7 linked regions of the Danio rerio genome follow. The protein of the gene in region 3 interacts with the protein of the main gene of each other region in a pairwise test. Links are inferred from orthologs where the notes say so. Each region holds a gene or a part of one and is shown on either strand. Other genes may lie near its edges.

Evidence for each region.
Region 1: the proteins of dazap2 (region 3) and si:dkey-106l3.6 interact in binary tests that used the Homo sapiens proteins (3 or more experiments, as listed by UniProt). The two-hybrid records come from large-scale screens. The link is inferred for Danio rerio from reciprocal best matches to the Homo sapiens genes DAZAP2 and RNF208.
Region 2: the proteins of dazap2 (region 3) and fam168a interact in binary tests that used the Homo sapiens proteins (3 or more experiments, as listed by UniProt). The two-hybrid records come from large-scale screens. The link is inferred for Danio rerio from reciprocal best matches to the Homo sapiens genes DAZAP2 and FAM168A.
Region 4: the proteins of dazap2 (region 3) and smap2 interact in binary tests that used the Homo sapiens proteins (3 or more experiments, as listed by UniProt). The two-hybrid records come from large-scale screens. The link is inferred for Danio rerio from reciprocal best matches to the Homo sapiens genes DAZAP2 and SMAP2.
Region 5: the proteins of dazap2 (region 3) and arid5a interact in binary tests that used the Homo sapiens proteins (3 or more experiments, as listed by UniProt). The two-hybrid records come from large-scale screens. The link is inferred for Danio rerio from reciprocal best matches to the Homo sapiens genes DAZAP2 and ARID5A.
Region 6: the proteins of dazap2 (region 3) and zc3h10 interact in binary tests that used the Homo sapiens proteins (3 or more experiments, as listed by UniProt). The two-hybrid records come from large-scale screens. The link is inferred for Danio rerio from reciprocal best matches to the Homo sapiens genes DAZAP2 and ZC3H10.
Region 7: the proteins of dazap2 (region 3) and exd3 interact in binary tests that used the Homo sapiens proteins (3 or more experiments, as listed by UniProt). The two-hybrid records come from large-scale screens. The link is inferred for Danio rerio from reciprocal best matches to the Homo sapiens genes DAZAP2 and EXD3.

What each region holds. Positions count from the first base shown.
Region 1 is NC_133185.1:21,972,072-21,976,252, forward strand, and holds the start of si:dkey-106l3.6 (RING finger protein 208), read right to left. Parts: upstream 2,801-4,181; 5' UTR 2,253-2,800; intron 1-2,252.
Region 2 is NC_133193.1:4,904,518-4,908,017, forward strand, and holds part of fam168a (protein FAM168A), read right to left. Parts: intron 631-3,500; coding exon 456-630; intron 1-455.
Region 3 is NC_133198.1:36,680,357-36,683,856, reverse strand, and holds part of dazap2 (DAZ-associated protein 2), read right to left. Parts: intron 489-3,500; coding exon 237-488; intron 1-236. UniProt on the Homo sapiens protein: In unstressed cells, promotes SIAH1-mediated polyubiquitination and degradation of the serine/threonine-protein kinase HIPK2, probably by acting as a loading factor that potentiates complex formation between HIPK2 and ubiquitin ligase SIAH1.
Region 4 is NC_133194.1:41,012,919-41,017,061, forward strand, and holds the start of smap2 (stromal membrane-associated protein 2), read right to left. Parts: upstream 2,801-4,143; coding exon 2,698-2,800; intron 1-2,697.
Region 5 is NC_133183.1:62,209,681-62,213,970, reverse strand, and holds the start of arid5a (AT-rich interactive domain-containing protein 5A), read right to left. Parts: upstream 2,801-4,290; 5' UTR 2,718-2,800; coding exon 2,714-2,717; intron 1-2,713. UniProt on the Homo sapiens protein: DNA-binding protein that may regulate transcription and act as a repressor by binding to AT-rich stretches in the promoter region of target genes.
Region 6 is NC_133181.1:54,969,636-54,973,787, reverse strand, and holds the start of zc3h10 (zinc finger CCCH domain-containing protein 10), read right to left. Parts: upstream 2,801-4,152; 5' UTR 2,784-2,800; intron 1,583-2,783; exon of another isoform or gene 1-1,582. UniProt on the Homo sapiens protein: Specific regulator of miRNA biogenesis. Binds, via the C3H1-type zinc finger domains, to the binding motif 5'-GCAGCGC-3' on microRNA pri-MIR143 and negatively regulates the processing to mature microRNA.
Region 7 is NC_133185.1:11,585,442-11,588,941, forward strand, and holds part of exd3 (exonuclease mut-7 homolog), read right to left. Parts: intron 3,466-3,500; coding exon 3,315-3,465; intron 2,660-3,314; coding exon 2,461-2,659; intron 1-2,460. UniProt on the Homo sapiens protein: Possesses 3'-5' exoribonuclease activity. Required for 3'-end trimming of AGO1-bound miRNAs.

The sequences.
Region 1 (4,181 bases), on a different chromosome or scaffold from region 3:
ATATATCAACTGTATAATTATATATTAACTATAAAAAGAAAGAGAGAGAGAGAATAAATTATTTGAATATTTATGGAATATTTATAGTATGTATAAATATTATAAATATAAATATTTATTTATAAAAAATAATAAATATTTGAGTTTATATAAATATACAATATTTAGAAATATATTAATTTAATCCTAATCTTATTTTTCCCCAATATAAAACTAAACAAATATCCTATTGAAAACACTGAAAATTAATTAAATGTTACCAACTCAGAATCCCACATGGTAAAGGAATGACAATGTAAACTGTTTTAGAATTTACTTATTCCCAAAATAATATTAATAATAATAATACATTATTATTGATATAATACGTAGCCAAAAGTATCCCACTGGATTAAAATCAGAATACTAGTTGGAAACTGTCTAATAAAACAACAACAAAAACAACAATAACGAAAACATTCTAATCAGTAATACAACAACCATGCCAATCAAATTTGAACCAAAATTTTGATTCAATCCTCATATTAAACATGAATCTTAGTACATGATTATAGATCATTTTGGAGGACTTTTCCCCAACCAGGATAAACAACAACACCGTCATCACTAATTGGTGACACTTTTAACAAGTAGCAATAACATTCACCAACACAAACTCATTATTTCCAGCTGATGTTGGGATGAGCTCAGGTGCACACACACACATTTATCTGCTGTCCTCCTTTAAATTATTGACAGACAGTATTGATTGCTGAATCCCCATTGAGACAGTAGGGGCTGAATCTACAGTCCAGGAAGCAAACAGGGGCTTCTGGGTGTTTGGCGGTGATTTTCTCAACACTTATCAGTATTCTGGGAGTGTGTGCATCATCTGTGTTAGCAGTTTTTAGTGCAGTGTCGTGGGAGGGGCGGTTATGCAACCAGAGCAGCAAACGCAGCACACTGACTGCAGCGCATGTGCATGCAACATACACACACACATGCTCAAGCACAGGTCTGTTTCTGGCTTAACCACACATGACGGTTAGTATGTGTCAGTGTATAGTAGTCTCATGAGATCAGATTCCCACTCATTTGAGTCATTGATGGAATCTGTGTTTGTGTTGAACACGCGATTATGAATTGCATCTTGCCCTTTTGCAGAAATGGTTAACATGCACACATATACACAAGTACTGAAGTGCACATGTCCTGAGTGAGGATGTGGAAATGCAGAAAAATGAAAATATGACGAATTTGAGATGGAAAATACTCAAAAACTACAAAATCACATAGATATATATACAAAAGAAAACTACTGATGATCGTTAAAATATTACATTATTTATAATAATTATTATTATTTAATATATTTGTAATATTGTAATATTTAATATTACAATACATTATTATACATAACATTTTTATACATTATATATATATATATATATATATATATATATTCTAATAAATATATAAGATATTATTAATATTTTATCAAAATAATAAGGTAAACGATTTTATTTACAATAAATAATTACATTTATAATTTATTTATAATATTAAATATTATTATTCTTATTCTTATTATTATTATTAAAAATGCAATAGAATACTTTTGATTATTTGTATTTAATTAAATTATTGTCAATATTTAATTTAATTAAAACATGTAAATTAAATATTATACCTAATTTTTGTATAATAACAATTTAACATTATTAGAATTTTATAAATAAAAGAAATAATATATCATTTATTATCTATTACATATTAGTTATATTTTTAAATCAGTTCCATATACATAAAATTATTTAAAACTATATATATATATATAAATACAATATGTAATTTTGATATAAGGAACAGTTTTACAATAGTACAATTTAAATTTTTACAATAAAAATATAAAATACACTCCAATCTATAACATCCTTTCAGTTGATCAGTTGAATTCACCACATATATTTGATTGATGTAAAACTTAATTAAACCTATATTTTGACCTAGTGTACATATTATGTAATATGTTGTATGTACATCTGTACTTCTTAAAGAATTTGTCAAATCAAATCACACAAAACGTTATTTCATTATATAACCTCAATAGACACCAACATCTTTTTTTATGTTGTTAAAATCTTTAGAAGCAGATTCCATAAAAATAACTTAAGACAAAATCTGCACCTTCACAGCGTACAACATTCAAATAACATTGCACATTTACCTCCTGTCAACATGCTACAATAACACTCCTTCAGAAGCACCCTCACCTGTGTTTAGTTGTCTCTAGTGAATATTTCGTGGCAGGTCTCTGGATTTGAGATGACTGATGAGGTCGATTCATAAGATCTTGGCGTGGTTCTCACATGGGGACACAAAGTTCCTGTAAATCTGCTGCTGTATCTCAGCCTCTCTCGGCCACCAGATGCTCCTGTTGCATCCCAAAGCACGGAGGAGAAACACTTCCAAGAAGGACAGATGGATGGATGGGCGGGTGGAGGATGGAAAAGATGGAGGACGAGATGTCAGATGCGTCACAAAGCACCGTTCTCTCCTTCTTCTGCTCTTCTTCAGGACCACCGATGCTCCTGCTCTTCCACTCACTCACTCACTCACTCACTCACTCACTCATTCATTCACTCAGCCAGAAAGAGGATTCGTCCGCTCTCCACCTTTTCCTCTCACTCGTATGCTCTGCTATTTCTCTGCTAAATCTTCCAGTGAGGCCATTTATCTTTCCATTTCTTCCTCTCTTTCTCTCTGTCTGAAAGCAAACACTCACACACACGCACACACACTCTCTCTGACTCACCAGTACAAGCTTCTGTGAGTATTTCCACTCTTACATCTCTCTCTCTCTCTCTCTTTCTCTCTCTGCTGCAGTGCCTCTGCAGGCTGGATCACGTTTTCACTAGGAGAAAAAAAACAAAGAAATCAACCAATCAGAGCCCTCGACTCATCCTCCCTCCTCCATCCGCAAGCTCTCTTTCTCTCAGCCTCCATCCGTCTCTTTGTTTTACTCCGACTCTCTGCCTTAAACAGTGTACAGATGCAAATACACACACATACATACTTGTATATACGCTCTATGAGGACTCTCCATAGGCGTCATGTATTTTATACTGCTTATTATTTGGCTCTCACAGAAAAATCTGAATCTCAAAAAACCATAAGTACAAATTTTAAATGTTTTGAATTATGCTGAAAAAAGTCATGTCTTCGTAAACCATCGTTATAGAGTATGAATAGGTCATAGCCATGTCATTATTCAGTTAAGGGTCCTTGTAAATCTGTACACACACACACATACACACACACACGTGTTTAAATATTTGTGTGTTGTCATTGTGGATCATTCTGACGCTGATGGAGATGCTGTAAACAATGCAACTATGAAGAGGCACATAGCTTACAGATGATGACACTGTAAGTAAGTGGTGCGCAATAAACAGGTGTAAGATGCTTGGAGAGGACAGTTGGTATATGGTTGTGCATTATTCATCTGCGCGGAGCGAGGACATCATGAGGGATGCTGGGACTGGGGATTGTGTTATATAACAGACAGAGATTTTCATCAGTTTTAGCTTTACACATGTCCTTGTGCCGACCTACGGATAATCCACAGTTGCAATGTTGTATTTATCGTAAGTCATAAGTGTTTGCTGGGGTGTTTTATGTGGTCGCTAGGGTTTACTGGGTTGAAATGGTAACACCCTTGAGTCTCTGCCCTTTTCTATTCTCTGGAAATGACTTTGGTACTTCAGCGTAAGTCCATGGGACACCTTATACTGAGGTTGCTTTCATAAATACTGATTTACACTTAATATAAAAAGATTCATTCCTGCAACCCAGAACTGGGAAACGTAGAAAAAGATTATCTATCTATCTTTAAGGTAGAAAAAAACTAGAATTATTGTTATGATTCATTTATTTTCTTTTTAGCTTAGACGCTTTATTAATCTGGGGTCGCCACAGCGGAATGAACCACCAACTTATCCAGCACATGTTTTACGCAGCGGATGCCCTTGTAGCTGCAACCCATCTCTGGGAAACATCCATACACACCCATTATTGTTATCCTCACATTTACCAGAAATTTTGTTGTTGTTTTTGCGGTTGAACATCAACAGTTGGCAAGAATAACAAATCATTTTTGTGACTGAGATTCCGGGTTATTTTACCAAATAATATTTTCTTAC
Region 2 (3,500 bases), on a different chromosome or scaffold from region 3:
TTCAATAGTCTACAGAACAAACCATCGCCATACAATAACTTGCCTAATTACCCTAACCTGCCTAGTTACCATAATTAACCTAGTTAAGTGTTTAAATGCCACTTTAAGCTGTATAGAAGTGTCTTGAAAATATCTAGTAAAATATTATTTACTGTCATCATGGCAAAGATAAAATAAATCAGTTATTAGAGATGAGTTATTAAAACTATTATGTTTAGAAATGTGTTGAAAACATTTTCTCTCCATTAAACAGAAATTGGGGAAAAATAAACAGGTGGGCTAACAATTCAGGGGGGCTAATAATTCTGACATCAACTGTATATATATATTTATTTGTATAAAATAATTATATATATTTACTTTATATTTTTCCAGCTGTTGTGATTTTAATACACATGAAATAGGAAGATCAGACAGAAAGTGTGGATTTATGTAATGATTTATTTGTGGTTTACCGGCAGACATGGCCATGGTTGTTCCGGCCACCATGCCCATGGCCACCCCATTGGAACGTGGCGCGGGCACCGGAGCAGGGTAGATAGCGGAGGGGATGCTGTTGGGCTGCACCACGGTGGTGTGGTGGATGACGTGAGGCTGAGCTGCATACACCGGCTGTGTGAAATAAGCACCCTAAGGAGAAAAACGCACACACAAACATTACAGCACACACACACAGCTGACAATCAACAGATATATGACAAGTGCAGTGCTGTATGTTCCAACACAGTACATATTACTGCAGTGTTTGCTATGGTACTGAATCTGTGTTACTACCATTACGCTAAATGTTACACTATATAATTAAAATACATTTAAAATAATTGAATGAAAAACTTTGCTTAATGTTATTTTTTTATTTTATTTTATTATTTGCCGGTTGAATCTATCTAATATTTACATTTTATTGTATTTTTACATACAGCTTTTACTATTTAACCAATTTATTTAAGCATGTTTTAGTACTCAAGCTTGTGCAATTTTATTTATTTAATTTAATTAATTTGACTTGATTTTACTTCAGTTCCTAATTGCTAATAAGTAAAACAATTTAAGTAAATAAAAATAAATAAATAAAAGCCATAGAAATTAAATCTAACAACAAATGAATATTTTTTAATTACTAAAACTATTATTAAAATAAATGCTAAACTGTACATATAAAAGCTAACTTAAAATAATTATAAGTGCTACAAAGGTGTAAAGTAAAATTAAAATTGCACTATAGTAGCATCATAATACATTTTGATACTCAAACAACATTTCCAGTCTATTATTTGACATGAAGCATTTGAGCAAAACAGAATATTCTGAGCAAATAAATCAGCCGATTCTGCTGGTAACTCAGTCATTATTTGATATCATTATATAAATATTTTTTGAGGAATGCTAACCAAGTGTAAATGTGTCTGCCAAATGCATAAACACAACTGTTAGCAATATTTTAAGCCTCTGATGCATTCTGGGCTGTTTTGATCTGTTAAAGATACATAAAAAGGTTCTACAGAAATACATAGTTTAAGTAAAGAAAAACATGTTCATCAGATGCTTTAAAACCCTCAAAATACCCAAAGAGAGATTTTTAAATTATATAAATGTGTCATTTTGAACATAAGTATGTATTAAAAATACTTTTGTAAAATGATCTCAGGGTTAAAGGTGTTTTAATAAACATATATTGCCACATAATCATACTGTTTTGTAAGAAATAAACATAAATATGTACAATAGGTAGGCTTTATAAATCTGAACTGAGTAATTATGAATTCTAGTGAGGTTAATAATTAATTATAATGTCCTACAATGGTATATATTTAAATAATATCTCAAGAAACTAAAATTTTAAATGTGCATATACAGTGCTCAGCATAATTGAGTACACCCTATTTTGAAATTGAATATTTGTATTCATTTCTCAGAGAATATAGGCAATTTATTTTGGTGCATTTGAACAAAACAGATTTAAAATATAAAATTTATATATATAATATATAATTAAGTTTCAAATAATTCTCTTTTTATCATAAAAAGGCAATAAATAGACAAATACCAAGGTGAAAATGAAGTAACATTCAATACCGTTTTCCACATTCTCTCGATTGTGGCGATTATATATACATACATACATACATATATATATATATATATATATATATATATATATATATATATATATATATATATATATATATATATATACATACACACACACAAACACACACACACACACACACACACACACACACACACACACACACACACACACACACACACACACACACACACACACACACACACACACATCTATCTATCTATCTATCTATCTATCTATCTATCTATCTATCTATCTATCTATCTATCTATCTATCTATCTATCTATCTATCTATCTATATAAAATAATAAAAAGTGCATATAGATTCTGAATATACTGTGCTGAAAATTGTAAAAAATGACTGTTAGCTATGGGTTAAAATAGCTAAAGAAATCCATACTACAACAAAATGACCTTATATTCTTATTAGTGCAGTGTTAGATTCCTATATTCTTCTTTGAGACCTTTTATTCTTATTAGATTTGATGGAATTGTCTCTTATAATAATTTCACAGACGAAACAAAAATGTAAGTCTGATTTTAGTCTTACAATGGACACCAGTAATGATTTTTCTAAGGCACATAAGTAAATGATACTTTACTTATAGTCCCTAATTAAACTATAACCTAATCCTGGTTGGATGATCAAAACAAACTTTTATTTTTAATGCTATTAATCTTAGCCCAGCACTAAGACGTGTATATATATATATATATATATATATATATATATATATATATATATATATATATATATATATATATATATATATATATATATATATATATATATATATATATATGAATAAACAAACATTTTATACAACTTAGTGATGCATATATTTATATACACAAAATTTTACACAGTACGCACAAAATATATTTAATATTTTAATGGATGTGATTAGGGGCGTGGCTCAGTGGTTAGCACTGTCGCCTCTCTGCAAGAAGGTCACTGGTTTGAGTCTCGGCTGGGCCAGTTGGCAATACTGTATGGAGTTTGCATGTTCTCCCCATGTTGGTGTGGGTTTCCTTTGAGTGCTCCGGTTTCCCCAAAAGTCCAAACACGTGCGCTATAAGTGTGTGAGTGCATGTGTGAATGTATGGATATTTCTCAGTACTGGGTTTTGGCTAGAAGGGCATCCGCTGCGTAAAACATACTGTATGCTGGATAAGTTGGTGGTTCATTCCGCTGTGGCGGCCCCTAATTAATAAAGGGACTAAACCGAAGGAAAATGAATGAATGGATGCGATTAATCATGACTATTCTTTTGACAGCAACTAGTTTTAATGTAATCTGAGTCTAAGCCACAGGTGTCAAACCCAGTTCCAAAAGGGCCGCAGCTCTGCACAGTTTAGTTCCAACCCTAAATAAACACACCTGATCAAACTAACTGAGTCCTTCAGGCT
Region 3 (3,500 bases):
TTTCCATAGTATGTTTTAAATTATCCTTTGAGTAAATGTCTATGAGTGAGTCCTGAGCGTCTGATATGGCATCTTGTGTAAACAACCTCATCATGTCTTTTCATGTCATTCAGATTTCTTCAGATTTCTAAAAGTTTTCATCATTGTGACCCTCAAGCATAAACTGAGCTTGACTAATATAATGGAAATCTCATTTGGCTGATAAAACACATCATGTTTAGGGGACATATACTCACCGGAATGGAACTACCAGTGCCAGGCCCGAAGCGAGCTCCAGCATCAAATCCACCATCCACCATGACAGTGGAGCCAGGAGGGTACACGGGCCCCATCGGATAATACGCCATCGGGACACTAGAAGCCATGGCCCCCATTGGCACAGTCTGGGCATGCATGGGCATGTACATCTGAGTACCAGGGTAAGCAGAGGTCATCTGGGGCATTTGTCCAGGGGCTGGAGGGGGAGCCATATATCTGGGCTGATAAACCTGCAGGTAGGAGAGAAAACTATTTCAAACATTTGTGTAGGTGATAACAAAAAGTGTATAATTCACACTTAATATCAAGACTTCAATTGTTTTAATTGAAGTTAATTAGACTAATGAAAGACAATGGCATTTTAAATCTTAGTTTTGATTGTTTAGAGCAGAGGTGCCTAAAGTAGGGCCAAAGTTGGCCAATGGTAACCTTTGGTTTAGCCCCATCATCCCATCTGAACAGTAATGACGGTGAGTTGGTTGGGGTGAATGCCTTAGTTTCTTTGTTTAATTGAGTAGCTACCAAAAAAAAAGCCAACTAAAATGAAATGTTTCATATAAATGTTGTAAATGAATCAGACTTTTACTGCCACTTGACAGATAAAAGACAATGCACAAGACATCGGCAAGCAAATCAAGACAAAGGCCGAAGTAGCTCCACTAGTGTATTCAGCATTGAACACCATTGTCTAATAACTGGGATTGTTTGTTTTAACTGTAATAAGTTTATTATAACATGTTAAATCTGATACTGCATGTTTAAAAATGTTTAAAAGCAATGTTTTATTTTTATTTTTAAATATTAGCAAATCAATTAGGAAGTTTTCCATGGCAAATGTAATGTAATACAGTTTGGTATTTTTAACTTCGACCCACAGCCCTCACACCCCATTTACACGGGGCGTCAGCTGCAACGCTTCCCATTCACTTTGAATTAAGTAACATCAGGTGTTGCCGAACTGCATTGTGGACTCTTCGCTCAACATTTCAAGTGCCGACGGAAGCCTTAGCCAATCAGATCGCTGTATGCAAATACACCAGTTTAGACAGTGGCCTATTGCTGACTAATTTCATTGGCTGACGCTGCTATGATGATCGCATCAGCCCCAACTTCAGACACACCCTCTGTCAAGCGTTGACGCTGAAGCCCTGTGTGAATGGGGCATCAGTCAAGGTTTTGGGCCTTTTATAAGAAAAGTGTGTTTAAGCACCTCTGGTTAAGAGTTTAGTGCCTGCCATGACTATTAATTTTTAGAAATATCTAAATTAAATAAATAAATAAAACAAACAAATAAAGATCTGGTGTCACTAGGCATGGGACATTAACCGTTTTCAACGTTTACCGCAGTTTGGTAGACACCGTCAATTTTTTGCTATACCGTTCCTAAGGTATTTGTATGATTTTTTTATTTATATATATATAAATATATATATATATATTTTTTTTAGAACAACCATATCTCCAGCAGAAAAGATGTCCAACGTTGCTATTTTAAATGGTTAAAAAAATCAGTGTTTTGAAACAATTGAAGACAGCAGAGGTCAAGGATTCATTTAAACTATTCAGTCTGACATGTTTACTGCTCCAAAATATTAAGTGTTTCTCAAAATACCATATATTGTGTTCAAAGGGGAACCCAAACATTTAAAAGAATATATTTTAAAGCAGTAATGTCAATACCGTATTACAGTAAAACCGTGATATTTTTATCCAAGGTTATCAAACCGCCAGAATCTTATACCGGCCCATGCCTAGGCGTCACTTGATTAAAAATCACCTGAAAAACAAAAATGCCTAAATAAGATGTCCCAATCCCTCAAAATATACCCATATTTACTCATTTACATTTAAAAGTAAATTCATACCTCTTGATATTATGCATCACTCATGTACTGAGAACTGTAATGTAATGTGTTTTTTATTTAACGCCATGTTAGCAGCCAAGTCTATTTTCATGGCAAGAACATTTCAATAATAAATTTACAATTAAAAATCAACAAACAAATGAATATATACATTAAATACATTTTTACTTGATAAAAATGTAACATTTTTCCTGGTGTCACTTTGCTAAAAACGTCCTTTAGAGATTTAAATACATAAAAAAGTCTTCGGGAATCAAGAGGAAAAATGTATTTGAATGTGAGAGGAATTGCAGTATAATATACTGCGGTACAAACATTGAGTAGGGTCTTCACCTTTAAGCAAAAAAGCATGGGTTATTCTTGTACAGTTAAAGTCAGAATTATTAGCCCCCCTGGATTATTAGCCCCCCTGTTTATTTCTTTCCCCAATTTCTGTTTAACGAAGAGAAGATTCTTTTTTAACACATTTCTAAACATAATAGTTTTAATATCTCATTTCTAATAACTGATTTATTTTATCTTTGCCATGATGACAGTTAACAATATTTGACTAGATATTTTTCAAGACACTTCTACACAGCTTAAAGTGACATTTAAAGGCTTAACTAGGTTAATTGGGTTAACTAGGCAGGTTAGGTTAATTAGGCAAGTTATTGTAAAACTATGGTTTATTCTGTAACTATCAACACAAAAATAAATAAATGGCTTATAGGGGCTAATAATATCGAAAATGGATTTTAACAAATTAAAAACTGCTTTGATTCTAGCCGAAATAAAACAATTAAGACTTTTTTCAGAGGAAAAAAATATTGAGACATGCTGTAAAAATTGCCTTGCTCCGTCAAACATCATTTAGAAAATATTTTTTGAAAAGATTAAAAATTAAAAGAGCTAATAATTCTGACTTCAACTGTATGTCCAATACGACATCTGGGAAAAATCACCAAATCTAGTCTTAAAACTCTGTTTGAGGTTTCAGGTTGTATTTTATACAATTGATTTGTTTATGCATCCCACACTTTACTGTGAACACAAACAATTTTACATTAAAAAATAGCATAAAAAAGATTTTTTAAATAATTATTCTGCACACACCTGTAAATATTAAGTAAATTGTAAGTTGCTTTAGACAAAGGCATCTGCCAAATGCCTAAATGTAATTAGTTAACAAATGAGATGATGCTGTGACATGCTACTGAACTGATAAACAGAAATTCAATTCTGCAGTTGTATAAAGTCTAAATTTATGATTAGTACAATGTATTCATCAATCATTGGTATTCATTACTATTTATTTTTAAATTTACAATTAAATGTTATTTTATCACTGCAGTTTTAAATTAAGGTTTTAGAAACAACTCATAATAAAATCGCTGT
Region 4 (4,143 bases), on a different chromosome or scaffold from region 3:
TCTCTAATCATAAAGCAGCCAGGCAGTTAAATGAGGTAAAGATTTAGTTTTAAAAGCGAAATAGTTTTTATCACTTTTAGTTGTGAATTCGTTTTAAGAAAACAAATAATTTAAAAGGTTTTACAAGACGCTTTACATGTTATTATTATTTTGCATTAAGACAAAATGTAGAAAAAGAGATTGAGTAGTAGAAGAAAAATAAACAGTACAAAAACAAATTAAAGTACAAAAAGTGCATTTTAAAACTTTTGGGCCCCATAGTCAGAATTGCTTAGGGCCCCCAAAACACCAAATCCGCCCCTGTTAGAACCTACAATTTGTATTCACAATAAATCAGAGCCGACCCTTACTATTAGCGAATTAAGCGGCTGGTTAGAGCCCCGCTGCCACTAAGGGGCCCCCACTGATGGTACGAGCCATTTCTTTGCTGAAATCATTTTTATTTGCATTGTACAGATTATCTTGATTGACTGCTTTAGTACTTAAATGTTTATAAATTTTCACTGGAAAGAAAAAAAGTCATAATTTTATTAAAGCAGAAATAGTTTTTGTGTGAATGTCATGTGATTTCTGAGTTTTTAATGAGTTCAGAATGTATATTTTATTACTAAGTAATGCATTTTCACTTTTGGATTAGTATTGTTGACTGTCGACTCATAGCAGAGTTTTTGCTTTTGGAATTTATATATAAAAAAAACAAAAAAAAACAAACACAACCTTTTTGAAGCTGCTAGTTGAACAGTGCTGTTTTAAAATGTCCAAATCATTCGAACAGTTATTAAGTAGTAGAAATGAGACTTTACTTTTCTGTGTCATTGATTGTACTTATTAAGCAATAAAATCATTGTGGGCTGGTTTGCAATGGCAATACTCCACTATTTAGAGCAAGGTAGGGCCCCAAAATTATTCTGCTTATTGCCCCCAAATGTACAGGGCCGGCCCTGCATTCAATTAAAATTCACTCACTGTAACAATATAAAAGAGATTAGCACAACTAATCTTTAATGTTTACTGCAGTACATTATTTGTCCTTGGCGTTGAGTCAGACTTAGTTCTAGTATTAGTACCCAAATGTACATAAAAAGTACCTTTGAGGTAGCATTATGGACCCTTCAGGTAAAAATAAGTACCTTTTGAAAAGGTACTGCCACAGAGAAAGCTCCTGTACCTTTATTTCTGAGAAAGTATAAGCAGATTTTAGAAAATCACTGACAGCAATGTCAGGCCCGTAGCCAGGCTCGGGTTTGCAAGACCCACCCCTCTCTAATAAAGGTCCAGAATTTGTCCTATACATGAGCTCATTTGTCCTGTCTTAACTGCTATGCCATCATAAATAGTAAAAATAACCAATCGAAAAAGGCTTTAAGACCATGCGAAATTCTTGTGTGACTTCAGTTTTGGCCAATGCAAACAATTATTTTTCATGAGTCCAACATCCAGCTGTGCAAAAAACATCTGACACAAGCAAAGTCATCTTTCACTACTGTATTGTTTTTAAATGGAGAAAACATTTGACAAGTAACTTTTATTCTTTGACCTTATTATAGAAAGAAAACAGGACCAATTAAAAAAAGTAAAGCACTTTTACAAGAGAGGCTAGATAAATTGTGAGTCACTAAATTATTATTATTATTATTATGTTTTAATTTCTATTCAAATGGACAAATTTAAATTTAAAACAGTTTTTTTTCTAATGACATATGATGTAATAAATTTGTATTTTTTTATATTATTTTAATAGTCCTTTCTACTGCTTCTTTTTTTCAAATGTATAAAGTCGTTTCTCTTGGCTTATTTTATGTTTTTATAATCTGTCTTTTTATTTTACTTTGTCTAATGTACAGCACTCTGGTCAGTCTTGTGGCTGTTTTTAAATGTGCTTTATAAATAATTGAACTTGAACTAGTATTTCAAAAATAAACATGTCATATTTCTTTTTTCTAATTATATAGGAAATGTTTTGGTACAACAAAAAGTGTGGTTATGATGATTATCCGACAAACTAATCCAGCTAAAAATAGGTGTTTAAAATGTGTTGAGGTTGGTTTTACATTCACACATTCAGAATTTCTCCTCACAAATATCATTTCAGAAAAATATTATTTGCAAATTCTAAATAGTGGAATCATATTAGCAGCCAATGACTATCACAACATACATAGAATCAGCGTCAAATAACGTTAAATGTGGCTTTTATTGTTTAGCAGTCATACGAACACGTGTTTTCAGATTGAATATTCAAAGTACCATGGTAAACAATATAGGGAGCATGTCACAAACTGTCACTGATCAACAGTGCGAATGTAAAACCAACTTTACCTCGATTTAAAATGTCACCTAATCTTATAATTAAATAAAAAACGAGGCGAATAACTGCAAAAGGTCCACTTTTTGAGAAAAAAGAACCACCCTTTCTCCAGGCTGTCCACGGGCCTGAATGTCTATGAGATAAAATCATTAGGATGATTTTGAGGAAGCCCAGCAACTGATTCGTCGATAAAGACTCGGTTCAAACGAACGATTCGTTCAAGATTCGAATATGAACACACACACACATACACAATATGATGTAAAAAACACAGGGCCTAACCTACACACAGAACATAACTGCACAATAAACTCTATTTCTAACAGAAGAAACATAAAACCGAAGTAAGAACTGCTTAATGCAAAGCTCTTGTGAAATACGAATCTTACCTTTGGCGTAACAATCCGCGCAAAACTTGTTTTCCTCTAACGTGAGAAGGGATGTGAGAACCGCCTGATAGCGGTCAATGTCTTTGACTGATCTGCCTGTCATCTTCAGAAATCGCTAATCTAACTGCTTGGTAATAAATAGTCCAAAGCCGTGGAGGAGATGATGAGATGTTTGTCCGTTATTGAGATACACCGGGAAGCGAATCGCTGTCTGTCACAACCGGCTGCTGCGGATGGAGAGAGAAAACGCTACAAGACTGCTGGCTTCCGCTAATCTTACCAGGAAGAGGAAAAAAGCATTGAACCACTGTTCACATGAAAACACCATATTCCCCGGTGCACATTCGCTGGTTCTTGACAGCCAACTTTCCTCCCGCAGAATCAGAGACACACATCGAGCTCAATCTCTACACTTGAGTGTTTACTCTTATCAGCTGCGCTTGCTCACTGCACGGCCTCTGTCGTGTACAGACATGTGCTGGTTAAAACATTGAGCATTTAAAAGATCACACAACTAAATCTAGCATCAGATGGACAATTGCGGTCGTGATGTTCGAGGTCCAGTGATGTGAATTACTGCCTCTTTGTGTATTTTCCAGAATGTGGGAAATTGCGCCCTCGTGCGGGGAGAAACGACACTGCGCACATCCGCTCGTGTTTCTTGTTGATGTACAGGGATGTCTCAAGGACAGCATCATATATTTTGTTGTTGTTTATTTCACTAAAAGTGCAATGCTTGAAACGCCTTGAACAATCTTTAAATAGTCTATATGCACACAGACTTTTAATTTTCAGCCATGCAGCCCAAGGGCCTCCGGTACACTGTCTACAAAATTGCCATGTTTTGATTTCTTTACAAATCAACAATATTCACTGCCTGTTAGATATCCGATATGAAATGGGTCTCAGATCAGACAAGAAACACTGCATTAAATTCCATTTCACCCCACCATGTCCTAAACATATGACAGCTTATTTTACCACAGAATTTTCAATGGAATTGCTGTGCTAGCCCTGTTGCTACTGACGGCACTAGCGGCTACACGGTCTTTCATCTCGTTTTAATCTTGAACAACTAAATGAATGCTTAAGTCTATTTAACAGAATGTATTGTAATTACAACATCGATACTGTAAAACAACCTTGTGAAATTATAAATAGTCAAATTTACCTGAAGTTTCGGCTATCATTGGTTTTAACACTCTAGCTGTGCATACAGAGCCCTAGCTGTAACCACTAAAACCAAACTGATACAGACAACATTCATTCATTCACTTTCTTTTCAGCTCAGTCCCCATTTTTACCACAGTGGAATGAACTGCCAACTTTCCAGCATATGTTTTACAGCAGATATCCAAACTCCACACAGAAATGCCAACTGACCCAGCCAAGACTCGAACCAACAACTTTCTTGCTGTGAGGCGACAGCACAACCCACTGCACCAC
Region 5 (4,290 bases), on a different chromosome or scaffold from region 3:
TCAAGAAGCATTTTCTAGACAAACTAAAAATATTGTCTTGTTTTCAGAAATAATGAGTCAAAGTTTACTCAGTTTTTCCTTAAAACAAGCTAATTAATCTGCAAACAGAGTAAGCAAGCTTTTCCTTTAGACATATTATTATTTTGCTTAACTTATTGGCAGATTATTTAGCTTGTTTTATTGAAAAAAAACTCACTTAATTTTGACATATTATTCCCTAAAACAAGACAATATTCAGTGCTTGTCTAGAAAATGCATCTTGATTTAAAAATTTTTAGATATTTGGACAAGACACGAGACTAAAATCTAAGTAAAAATGGGATTTTTAGCAGTGAAGAGGCACAAATAATTTTCGATTGTAGTAAAGACAAAAGAAATTAGTTATTAGAAATTAGTAAATAAAACATAAGATATATTTGAATTTAAAATATTTTACAAATGTAGTCTTTACTACATATTATATACCGCAGCTCTGCACAAGAAGTTTGGCCAGAGGAGAAATGATTGTGCCAACTGAGCCTGGTTTCTCTCAAGGAGAGACTTTCCTTCACTTTCGTCAATTGGTGAAGTTTGTTCCTAGTCACTGTCGCCACTGGCTTGCTTGGTTTGGGACTTGTGAAGCTGTGCATCGATTAGATTTGCTCCTCATTGTTTGGACTTTCAGCAGTACCATTTAAACTACACTAAATTGAACTTCAACTCTGAAACCTGGAATGACACAGTTTAAATTTATTATAACTTCAATGTTAAGCTGTTTTAACACCATCTACATTGTAAAAGTGCTATAGAAATAAAGATGAATTGAATTAAATATAAACTACTCTGACTATATATGATAATTAGAATTTTGTCTCAGAAATGTGCCATATATTTATATCATAAACCATGTCTGTGGCCAAATATGAGGCCACAAGCATGCATATCAAGCCATCTAGTGTTCAGGCGTTCTGGTGTGAACAGCAGCAACACAATGTGACCATCAGGCACCTGACAGCATCTTATTGACAAACCGCACCAGCACTGAATTATGGGTTAAAGTCTCCACTTCCCCTTCTCGCATCAGTGTCTGAAACATCCAGAAACGCTTGGCTTTCGAGATCAGACGCTTCCTGTGCCAGGGCAGTTCAACAGGCTGCTGTTATTCGACTTCCCCTTCTGAGCCGCAGCGCAAAAAAACACTGATATTATCACTGCTACACTTCTGCATTGTTTCTGGGAGTCAACTATTGTCCGCATCACTCAGAAATATGTCAGCTTCAGTATTCAAACTTTACGATTAAACTGCGGCTTTCTTGTCTGCAAGTCTACCATTTCCTGCACTGACCATCTTGTCCTGAAAACAAAGCCAGAAAGTGTGATAACATCACAATGACCGCGTCATTACGCAATTACGGCTTTGTTCGTGACATCAGAACACACTGAATGGTAATTATCCTTAAATCTGTGATGCTTGATAAAGTTTCCTAAACTGAAAAGTTCTTTCATGAAGCAGATCAAGGCTCATTCGCATCAGTTTGTATATCTGATGAGGGATTTTACGCTTCAACAGCAATGTGGTGCTATTTCTCTAAACCACTTCCTCAAAGAGCAAAACTTGTTATGGTTACTCATATCTAGTTCTTATTACTGTCATTCAAATTACTCAAAATGACAGAAATAGCTGTAACGTCAAGCCACTTACCATTAATAATATGGTAACACTTCACAATAAAGTGAGTTGCATTAGTTAACATGAACTAGCAATGAAAAATACTTGGATTTACATTCATTTTTGTTCATTACATGTACCGATTCGCTGCTAAAACATCTAAACTTGTGTTTAACTATTTGTTAACAAATGAGACCGTATTGCTAATCCTTACCAATAAAATAAATGTTTTTTTTTTTCATTAATATGACTAGTATGTTTCTATAACTCTACTGTAAAATGTATTTTTGAAGGTGTAAATAAAAAAAGCATATTAGTGTAGTAAATCCTACAAGATAATACTTTCTAAATCAAAATGTCACGCTTAATACAGAGCTACTTGCTATTTCTCTGTAGTTAATTGTAAAATGTGCAAAAAATCTGTTAAATAAAACATGTATATCATCGATAATTAAATGTATATCAACATTTTTCTACATAAATTATACTAAATATATATATATATATATATATATATATATATATATATATATATATATATATATATATATATATATATCAATCGTATTCTAGCTTTCTGGCTAATGCAAAGTTTATATATACATATAAGTTAATATATACAACAATACACATTACTAAATAGATAATAAACAATATTATACAGACGTTTGCTTCTTAAAAATTCTTCTAAAAATATACTAGACACTAGTAAAAAGATATGCACGTTTTAATTCAAGTCAATAAAATAATTTCAATAGCCAAGTAATTTCAGATGTATCGCCATCATCAATTCATTATAGCACAAATAATATCTTAAATAAATATGTTAGGACATTTAACCTTATACACGTGGGATTTGGCTTCATTTCAACTCTGACTTCGTTATTAAAGTCTACTCTGATTTTACTGTCTGTCTGGAAACCAGTTCACGGAGATTTACATCTTGTTTAAAGCTTTAAAATAGCCACGAGCTGAGCTCGTTCAATATTAATGTTAGTATTAGACTTTATAAAGTTATCCCGCATTGACGGTAACAGTTTAATATCAGCGAACATCACTTCTTACCCATTTTTGAAGCTCGTCGCCCGCAGATGGTGATTTGAGCAGCGTTTATTGTCGTGGTTGAGCAGTAATTGACGGTTCAGTTTCAGCACGCGCTTCTCACTTCCACGGGCGCGCGCTTTGCCTCTCAGCGTGCACGAGCACATCACCAAGAACCATGGGACTCGGAGTTTTGTGAGAACTTTACCCTAAACTGAATATTCTGTCATCATTTACTTTTACCAAACCTGTTTGAGATTCAGTTGATCACAGAAGAATATATTTTAAATACAGCTGAAAACATTGCTTACTTCATAGTGTTTGTTTTCCCTGTAGTATTCAATGTTCATACGATCTTGGCAAACCTGGAAAAGTCATGAATTTTGACAAGGCATTTTCCAGGCCTGGAAAAGCTTTGGAAAAACAAATAAACCTAAAATATTTTGGAAAAGTCCTTGAAATAAATTTGTTAAACAAAAATCCATCTCCTTAAATATGTTTAAAGGGTTAATATGCTTGAAGGGTTATGTTCTCTGTTTGGGGTGGAAAAAAAGCACCTCGCAGTTCAGCTTCGGCTCTCTTTCACTCGCATTCGTCGTAATTCAAGCTACATTTTTGAGATTGGTGTCTAGAAACCATCTCTAACTGCAGGGCTAACTCTAACTGCGGATGCTAAACCCAGTGTAAATTTGTCTTTCTTTCATTAATTGTGTTTGTGTGTTTATTCTATGGTTTAAGTGCATTTTTGTATTATTATTTTATTGATTTGATAATTATTTGTGCTCTGTTGTATAAATAGCCTAGATGAATGTTGTTATTCGAATTCCTTATTGTAATTGTTTTATAATGCATAAAAAGCTAATTTGTACTATTCTTAAGTCTTACGACAACACACGCCAACATTTCTAAAATGTTGTCACACAGATACTTTTCTAAAACTTATTTAGAGATAATAAACAAGGCTATACACAGATTGTCATATTTTTTGATATGCTGTAATAAATTCGATTTTTACATGTAGTGTATGTGGACATTAAATGAAACATTAGATTATGAATATTCACCTGAAAGTTTTGGAAAAGTCATGAAAAAGTCATGTAATTTTAGTAGTAAAATGTGTATGAACCCTGAGTATAGCATATGGTTAGAGGTTTACACTAATGCTTTAAAATAGATTTGTTAGTATTTAACAGAATAAAGCAACTTAAAAATGTTTGGAACCTTTTGAGAGAGTAAATGTTTACTTTCGAGTGAACTAAGAAGTACCCTTTTCCCTTTTAACCTCTATTATACGTTCAGAATAGCATTATTTATGGGTGAATTGTTATTTCATAAGCCCAGAAATTTAGCATGACTATGACTAAAACTATTAGTAAATAAAAAGGCAAATAAGAAAAATATTTTGAATGCTTCTTTGTTTTTTGGCCTTGATATTACAACATTAGAAATGTTTTGGAATTTTAAATTAAACATAAACCACAATATCTATGACCAATGTTAGCCACTAAAGCCAGTCAGCTTCAAGTTCAACAAACCAACAAAATGTCTGCAAACAAATACATATAGACATTTGTGACCGTGTTAAAATGCAATAATTGATG
Region 6 (4,152 bases), on a different chromosome or scaffold from region 3:
TTTCATTTAGGAACACTCCTGAGATAAATAAGTTATATCTCCGTACTTAATTAATAAATTTATATGAACTGCTGCGCTTCCCACCTCCTTATTCAACCGCAATGACTTCTTGGACTTCTCGAGCGAGTTTTGCACTCAAGTATGCATCGACGCATCCTCGATGTCAAAAACACAGCCGGGAACTTTCTCGCGTCCTCTGTTTTACAGTCTTGAGTATAGGGTATATGGCGAAGCATGCTAATAGGACTTTCAATTTGCCAGTAACCTGGGTTAAGCGTTTCAGGCGAATTGTATGCCAATGCAAAAACTGGCGCGTTTAAGGTCTGTCATCTTTAAAATCAGCGATCTCCACTAGCTAAGTAATATCTGACATAAAGTGGGTCTCAGATTGTACAAGAAGCACTGCATTAAATGACATTTTACCCCGCCATGTCTTTATAATATGAGCATTTATTTTACCCCAGTATATTCAATGGAGCTTCTGCGCTAGCCTGCCGATTCTGACAGGCGCGTGCGAATAAACGACTTTGTCTCGTTTTGCGCTTGAGCAACTAAATGAATGCCAAAGTTTATTTAACTGAATGTATTTCAATGACATTACAACATTAATGCTGTGAAAGGAGCCGTATAAAATGGAAGAAAGTTCACAATAACAGGTCACCGGAAGTTCATCAATATGGGAAAAACACTAGATAGGCATATACCCTATTAGAACTGAACTTTGGCAGTTGATTATGACTTACACGAGAACACAAGATCACTGAAGAACACACATTGAGAAACAGCCATACTCAGCAGGACACCAGCCTGATATAATTAGGCATGGGCCGGTATAAGATTCTGACCATATGATTACCTTGGATAATCATATCACGTTTTCACAGTATAGTGATTACTGTTGTAAAATATTGTCTTTTTAAATGCCTGGGTAAAAAAAAATAAAACTTTTTTTCCTTTTGAACACACTATAATTTATTTTGAGAAACCTTTATAATATTTTGGAACAGTAAATGTGTCAGGCTACAAAAATTATTGACTTCTTCCGTCTTTTGTTTCAGTTTTTGTACAAATGAAAACAGCATCTTTTCTGCTGGAGATACTGTTGTCCTAAAATCAAACAAAAAATGTAAATAAAAAGTCTTACACATACCTTAGGAACGGCATTGCAGAAACTTTTGAAACCTTAACTTTTTCAAACTGCGGTATACTTTGAAAACGGTTATCATCCCATGCCTAGATATAATATATATAAATGTTCATACTTTTTTTGTATTAAAAAGTTCAAAGATTTAAGATGCTGATGATCATTAAACTGTCTTGTGAAAAGGATCAATAGCTTCCAAATTAATAATAAAAAAACCTAGTCAGAAATAAACAGAAGAAGAATTATTTGAGAATATATTAAAGGATAAGGATCTTAAGGATAACAACTTTTAAGGATAACAACGCAGCACCAAAACACTAAACACTTGTTATTGTAAATGTTAATAATTTCCCACAATCCTATTCCAAATGCATTTTGCAAGATACTTGTAAATTGAACTTCATTCATTTTCTTGTCGGCTTAGTCCCTTTAGTAACCCGGGGTCGCCACAGCGGAATGAACCGCCAACTTGCCCAGCAAGTTTTTATGCAGCGGATGGCCTTCCAACCGCAACCCATCTCTGGGAAACATCCACACACACATTCTCACACACACACACACACACACAATCATACACTTCAGACAATTTAGCCTACCCAATTCACCTGTACCGCATGTCTTTGGACTGTGGGGGAAACCGGAGCACCCGGAGAAAACCCACCCGAAGGCAGGGAGAACATGCAAACTCCACACAGAAACGCCAACTGAGCCGAGGTTCGAACCAGCGATCTTCTTGCTGTGAGGCGACAGCACTACCTACTGCGCCACTGCCTCGCCCTATATTGAACTTTAAAGGAGTTAATAAATCAATATTTGGTATTTTTTATTTAATTTTGGTGAACTGACACTGTTTCAATTCACTATAATCTTCTATGTGAAGCTACTTTGACACAATCTGCATTGTAAAAAAAAGCTCTAGAAATAAAGATGAATTGAATTGAATAAAAAAAAAAAAAAATCAATAACCCCGTTTTTATTGACCTTAAAAAAATGTTGGCTATTCTCAAAAAAAAAAAAAACACTTGAAATGACTCACAATAAGCTAAAAATTTGTTTGTTTGTTTTTTTAGAAATTGGGAGAAACAACAGCCTTTTATAGAACAAATAAGATATTAGCATTCAACTCGAATCCATACCTAATGATTGCAGTAAACCGAGAAAGACTGGCAATCCTTTGTTATTATAGCCAAATAAATTCAAATATACTTAGCTGTAGCAGTGTGTACATATAATATCAATATAGTATGTAATAATTTTAATAACTACATTTTATTTTAATGTTTTCCCCCAACCTCTTGTCGTACCTGATATATTAAACGTGTATATCTTTATAAACAACCATTGTGACTGTTTGTTTACTAGCAGTGTGTTGTCATGTCAAATCTATGAGGCGCCAAATACTTCAACAGCACATTGCGGCATATACTCAATGTGAATGAACAACCAAGTGTGTTGTCCGATAAGTAAACAAACATTGTTGGTGACATTATTTCGTTAAGTTTGCAGTATATCCACACTCAGCTAATGAAGTAATGTTAAAACACGCAGTCTACTTCCAGGCACAAAGGCCCGGATAACGCGGGTAACGTTAGACAAGACACAAAGACGCGAAGCTAAACCATTACCATTAATAACTTACCCGCTCCACAAACCCGGTCGAACCAACGAAGTTGAATAAACTGAACAACATTACTAGCTAAACGGAGCATGTGTCAACAGTGCGAGTGCTAACATTATAGCACAAGTTGCTCTATGAATGACCCCTTTTCTTTTTCGAAGCACTACCGGTGCAGCACTTCACGGGGAAAATGAACGTCAAAATAAAAGTCCTCAAGTCAGGGTAAACGTGCAACAAAATAGAGATGTTGCTAGTACATGGATGTGACATGGTACATCCGTATTTTTCTAAAAATTATGGTAAAAAAACGGGATGTTGCGAAGGAAATGTTAATAATAATGTGTTATTTGTTTACATGTGCTCTTATTGACACTGAACATACATTAGAAACATCTAGTATACTCAGAAACAGTACAGTACAAGATTTCATTCTCAGAAAAAGTTGGCATGTCTGTTTTCACTTGAAGAGATACAATAAACATCCTTTTATGCTGCTTTAAAAAATTAAATATCTGATCCTTAACAATAAATGTATAATAATAATAATAATAATAATAATAATAATAATAATAAACCTCTAAGGAGTAAAATCCATTACTTCACACAAAAATGTATTGGAACAACAGATATCTGGACAGAATTAGGAGTTTGGGATTAAAATAAATTTTCCAATGATGTAATTTTCCAACTTTAATATACATAAACTACTGCACAAGATTTCAGCATTTAATTCACATACAAGAGCCAATAATTCACTACAGCATGAGGGTTGTCAATAGTTTATTTTTTACATTAATGAGAACATCAGACATCAATGTTCATTTCCAATAATCTTATAAAGATTCAGTTGTCGACCAGGAATGCAGTGGGCACAGAACCTGGAAGAAAAAGAAAAGAAGGTGGTTTTACATCAAGCAAATCAACATTGGTGAACAGATCAAAACAGATATACTCTTACAGATTAGCATCACCAATGTATGACGTGTTTTCTGTAATTAATATTATGTACTAATTTCCTTTCAATAAAAATGAATGGTTTGGAAGAGATACTGAATTGAGATTTCTGGAAGTTCAATTAAAATAAACACCTTTGAATTGAAACGGAGCACTAAAAAATCCAGAATAAGTATTTTAAATCCACTAGATATGATAGGAATATGGTTAAAACTAGTGGTGTAATTGATCACAAATTTCACGGTTCGGACTACATTATGGTTTAGTCACCGATATGACCATTTTTCAGATCAGCCAAAAAGGGAAGGAGACAAATGTAATTTGCTTTCCATTTATTACCAAAACAGCACTGCAAGACAGCTTTGGTTTTAACAAACAGAACTTAGAAGCTTTAATTTTATCAAAGAAAAAAGAAATAATCAGCTGGAGAAAATAA
Region 7 (3,500 bases), on a different chromosome or scaffold from region 3:
AATATGTTCCCTGTCAAAAAGGTACACATAACAGCCTAATTTCATATGCTGCCAACACCCCTTATATTAAAGGGTTAGTTCACCCAAAAATGAAATTCTGCTGTTAGTTACTCTTCAAGTTGTTTCAAACCCCAGAGACCTTCGTTCATCTTCAGAACACAAATGAAGATATATTTGATGAAATCTGAGAGCTCGCTTATCCTCCAAAGACAGAAAGTCGAGCAAAGACCAATAGCACCAGGGTTTGGTATCAAAACCCAGTGCCATTATGGCACCAGTACCTATGTAACCGGTGTGCACAGGACCGAATCAGCATATGAATTTTGGTGCATAATTTCAGTGCCACTGGTGCTGCAACAAAGACGTGAGAAGCATCAAGGGGTACATCAACCGCACACATAGGTACACATTGTGTCATACCAAAGACAATAGAATGCTTACAGGGACTTTGGTCACACCATCTCTAAACATTTAGGTGTGAACTGTTATATCGGATTTCATGTGACTTTTACATAATCTTTGAGCAACATGCATCATCATTCTGTGCTACAAACATCCTCCACTCCTCAGCATCATAGTAGAATGGCACACAAGGCGATTACAGTATTACAGAAAGTTGGTTGTTCATGTTGAAAAAGATTTTAAAGGCAAAACTGGTGCTTGTTAAAGGGCCATGAAACCCCCTTGTTTCAGCAGGGTGTTCTTGGAAAAAGTCAGAAAAGTGGGCGTGTCCAGCTCTGTTTAGGGAGGAGTGTCGGAGGAACTAAAGTGGGAGGGTGTGGGAGTGTCTATTTGGGCACGCGCGAGTTTCAGAGTCAAAATAAACACACAGGAGAAAGTGATGGTGTTTAACCTACATGGACATCTGTAGTCGAATTATTTGCCAAATTATTAAATGTTGGACTTTAACAGCAGATTGGCTCTTTCATTCAGGGAATTCATTCATGCCCCTTGCGACAAACGAGATATTTGATTCGAGGATCTGCTCTAAGCATGTATTTTTCATGTAATGTTTGATACCGCACGGCGAATGAGAGAAAAAAAACTCTGCATTTCCCGGAAACTTAGATGCACACGGCAGGTAGCGTCAGAAAGTGTGTTATTCCGGTCACTAAATGCGGTAAAAACCCTACACGAGGTTAAAGTTTGGTTGTGGTGCTAACATGTTTACACTCGGTGCTATAGTTAACTTAGTTCGATACGAACAAACTGAATAAACAAAGAGCACTGGTCGCTCTTGGTTTGAACCAAGCTTTACTCATGCATTAATGCAGCAGGCTGTAAGACGTAATAAGACACACTCTGGCACAAACGTCCAGTCTGCATGCTGGAATACAACGCTATTATGTCATGACCGTGACGCAGCTTCAAAAATTTGTTTCAAACCGGAAGTACGAATTTACTTGAAATAACGCTAAAACAACCAATTTACACTTTTTAGTGAAATATAGGTGTCTTAAAAGTGTTTTTAGTAGTGTGGGACACATATACGAAATGTGTTTTTGGTGTTTCGTGACCCTTTAACTAATCTGGTTAATGATTGAGGCACGGGTTGATCGCAAAGCCAAAGAGCGTTGTGGGAGTTGCGAGTGGGGATCCGTGTGCAAAGGAGGGGGAACTTTCTCTCTGAGAGAAAAAAGGGCAGGTGCTTAAGCACCCAACACCCCTGCACGTGTCTGTTTTTTATAACGAAGTAAAATTTAAAAACTCTGCAAACGGAGATCAACCAACTCCTTCTACACAGTTCAGTCTGCGGCTGCTCATAAACTCTTGATGAGTTTACTACACCAGTGGTCAGAAAGACTCACACCTTGGTTGTCATAAATCATAAATTATCAGTGTTTTCAATCACAAGAGACTTATTTTAGGTCTCAAATTCTGAAATACACATTAGTAGTAGCAGAACAACCCTTTACAGTTCATGAAATACATTTCGGTTGTCTGTGAAAGGGAAAATAATCATATAGGCATGATCCGACAACGTGCTTACTCATGCAGTATACACATTGTGGGCATAGACAAGTCAGTTTAGGACCATGCTGTTTGCACTGCAAATCTAATATTGGCCACATTGATAAGAGCAATGTGAACAGCCATGCAAAAAAAATCTGATCTGGAAAAAAAAAATCAGATTTGAGCACTAAGCCTCGCAGTGTGAACTTAGCCTTAGTTCTGAACAACCTTTTAACAGCACTTTTCATTTTTGAGGGAACTCTAATAATGCAACCCCAAAAATAACAAAACAAATCAATAACAGGACAGGATGTCACATGATGCAACCAAAACATTGTAGCAATGATGATGATGAAGATGAAAAGTCTTTTTTTGTCACATACACTTTTACATGCAGTGAAATAAGACCCCCCTGACCAATGATGCCAATCATACATTTTACGCGTAACTTAGCATTCACACACACACAAAACACTTTATGCCTTCAATTAAGATTATTTCTCCTACCCAGCTTGAGAATTTTCTTGTCGGACAACAGAGCCCTAATGAAGTCCACGGTGGTGCTGTGGTGGCTGATGGCGTGAGCACAAAGGTCCAGCAGAAACACCTGATCCTGTACAGCCAGCTGGATCAGAGCCACGCGCTGAGACGACACTGTGCCAAAACCGGCCCTCCACTCCATGTCCATTCCAACCACACAGCCCGACTGAGAAATAATGACATATTGAGACAAATAGTGGAAACCAGAATGCATCTGTATCTGCTAACATAAAGTCGCATTCAATCTCGTTTGTTTGATCACATGGTTGCACTGCATTTACATATCGAAGACATAGGGATTAAAAACAACATCGGAGAGTATCGAAAATGTTCAATTGACTTTTTGAACAAAAAAACGTATCAATGTGCAATATAGCGGTCTTGGGTGATTTGGGTAGATTTGTATTGTCCAAAGATGTGTGTTGTAATGATTTAGATTTTGACATCAATCTGATTGGTATTTTAACCAGTTATTTTCAGCTTCTCAACATCAACTGCCCAATGGGTTTTGCTTATACCCCCATGATCACTGCTTTGTAGCATATCACGTCACAATTTCAACTACAGAAAAACAAAAATCATTACCAGTGTTGGGAAAATTTATGTTTAAATGTAATATATTACAATCTTGAGTCAGTTTTTTCAAATAACTTTTTAAGAAAAGTAATATGAAAGTACGTGTTCTGTTGTTTTTGCATACTTTCTTTAAAGATTAAAATAGAAACATGATTTTAATACATGAAAAGTAACTTTACCCAACACTGATCATAACATAGCTTATTAAATAAATAATATTAAAGGTACAGTAGTAGTAGTGTTACCTTTAAAACAGCTTCTCTGCACTTGTCAACCTCCTCTAGTGTCTCTACAAAGTGGACGTTCTCTCTGGGCAGAGGCAGCTGGTAGTATTTCTCCTGATCAGACTGTAGAGGCGCCCAGGACTCTGGTGGACCGCTAACAGAACCCAACTCTCTATGATAGAAATACACTTGTCAGAGTGTGTGTGT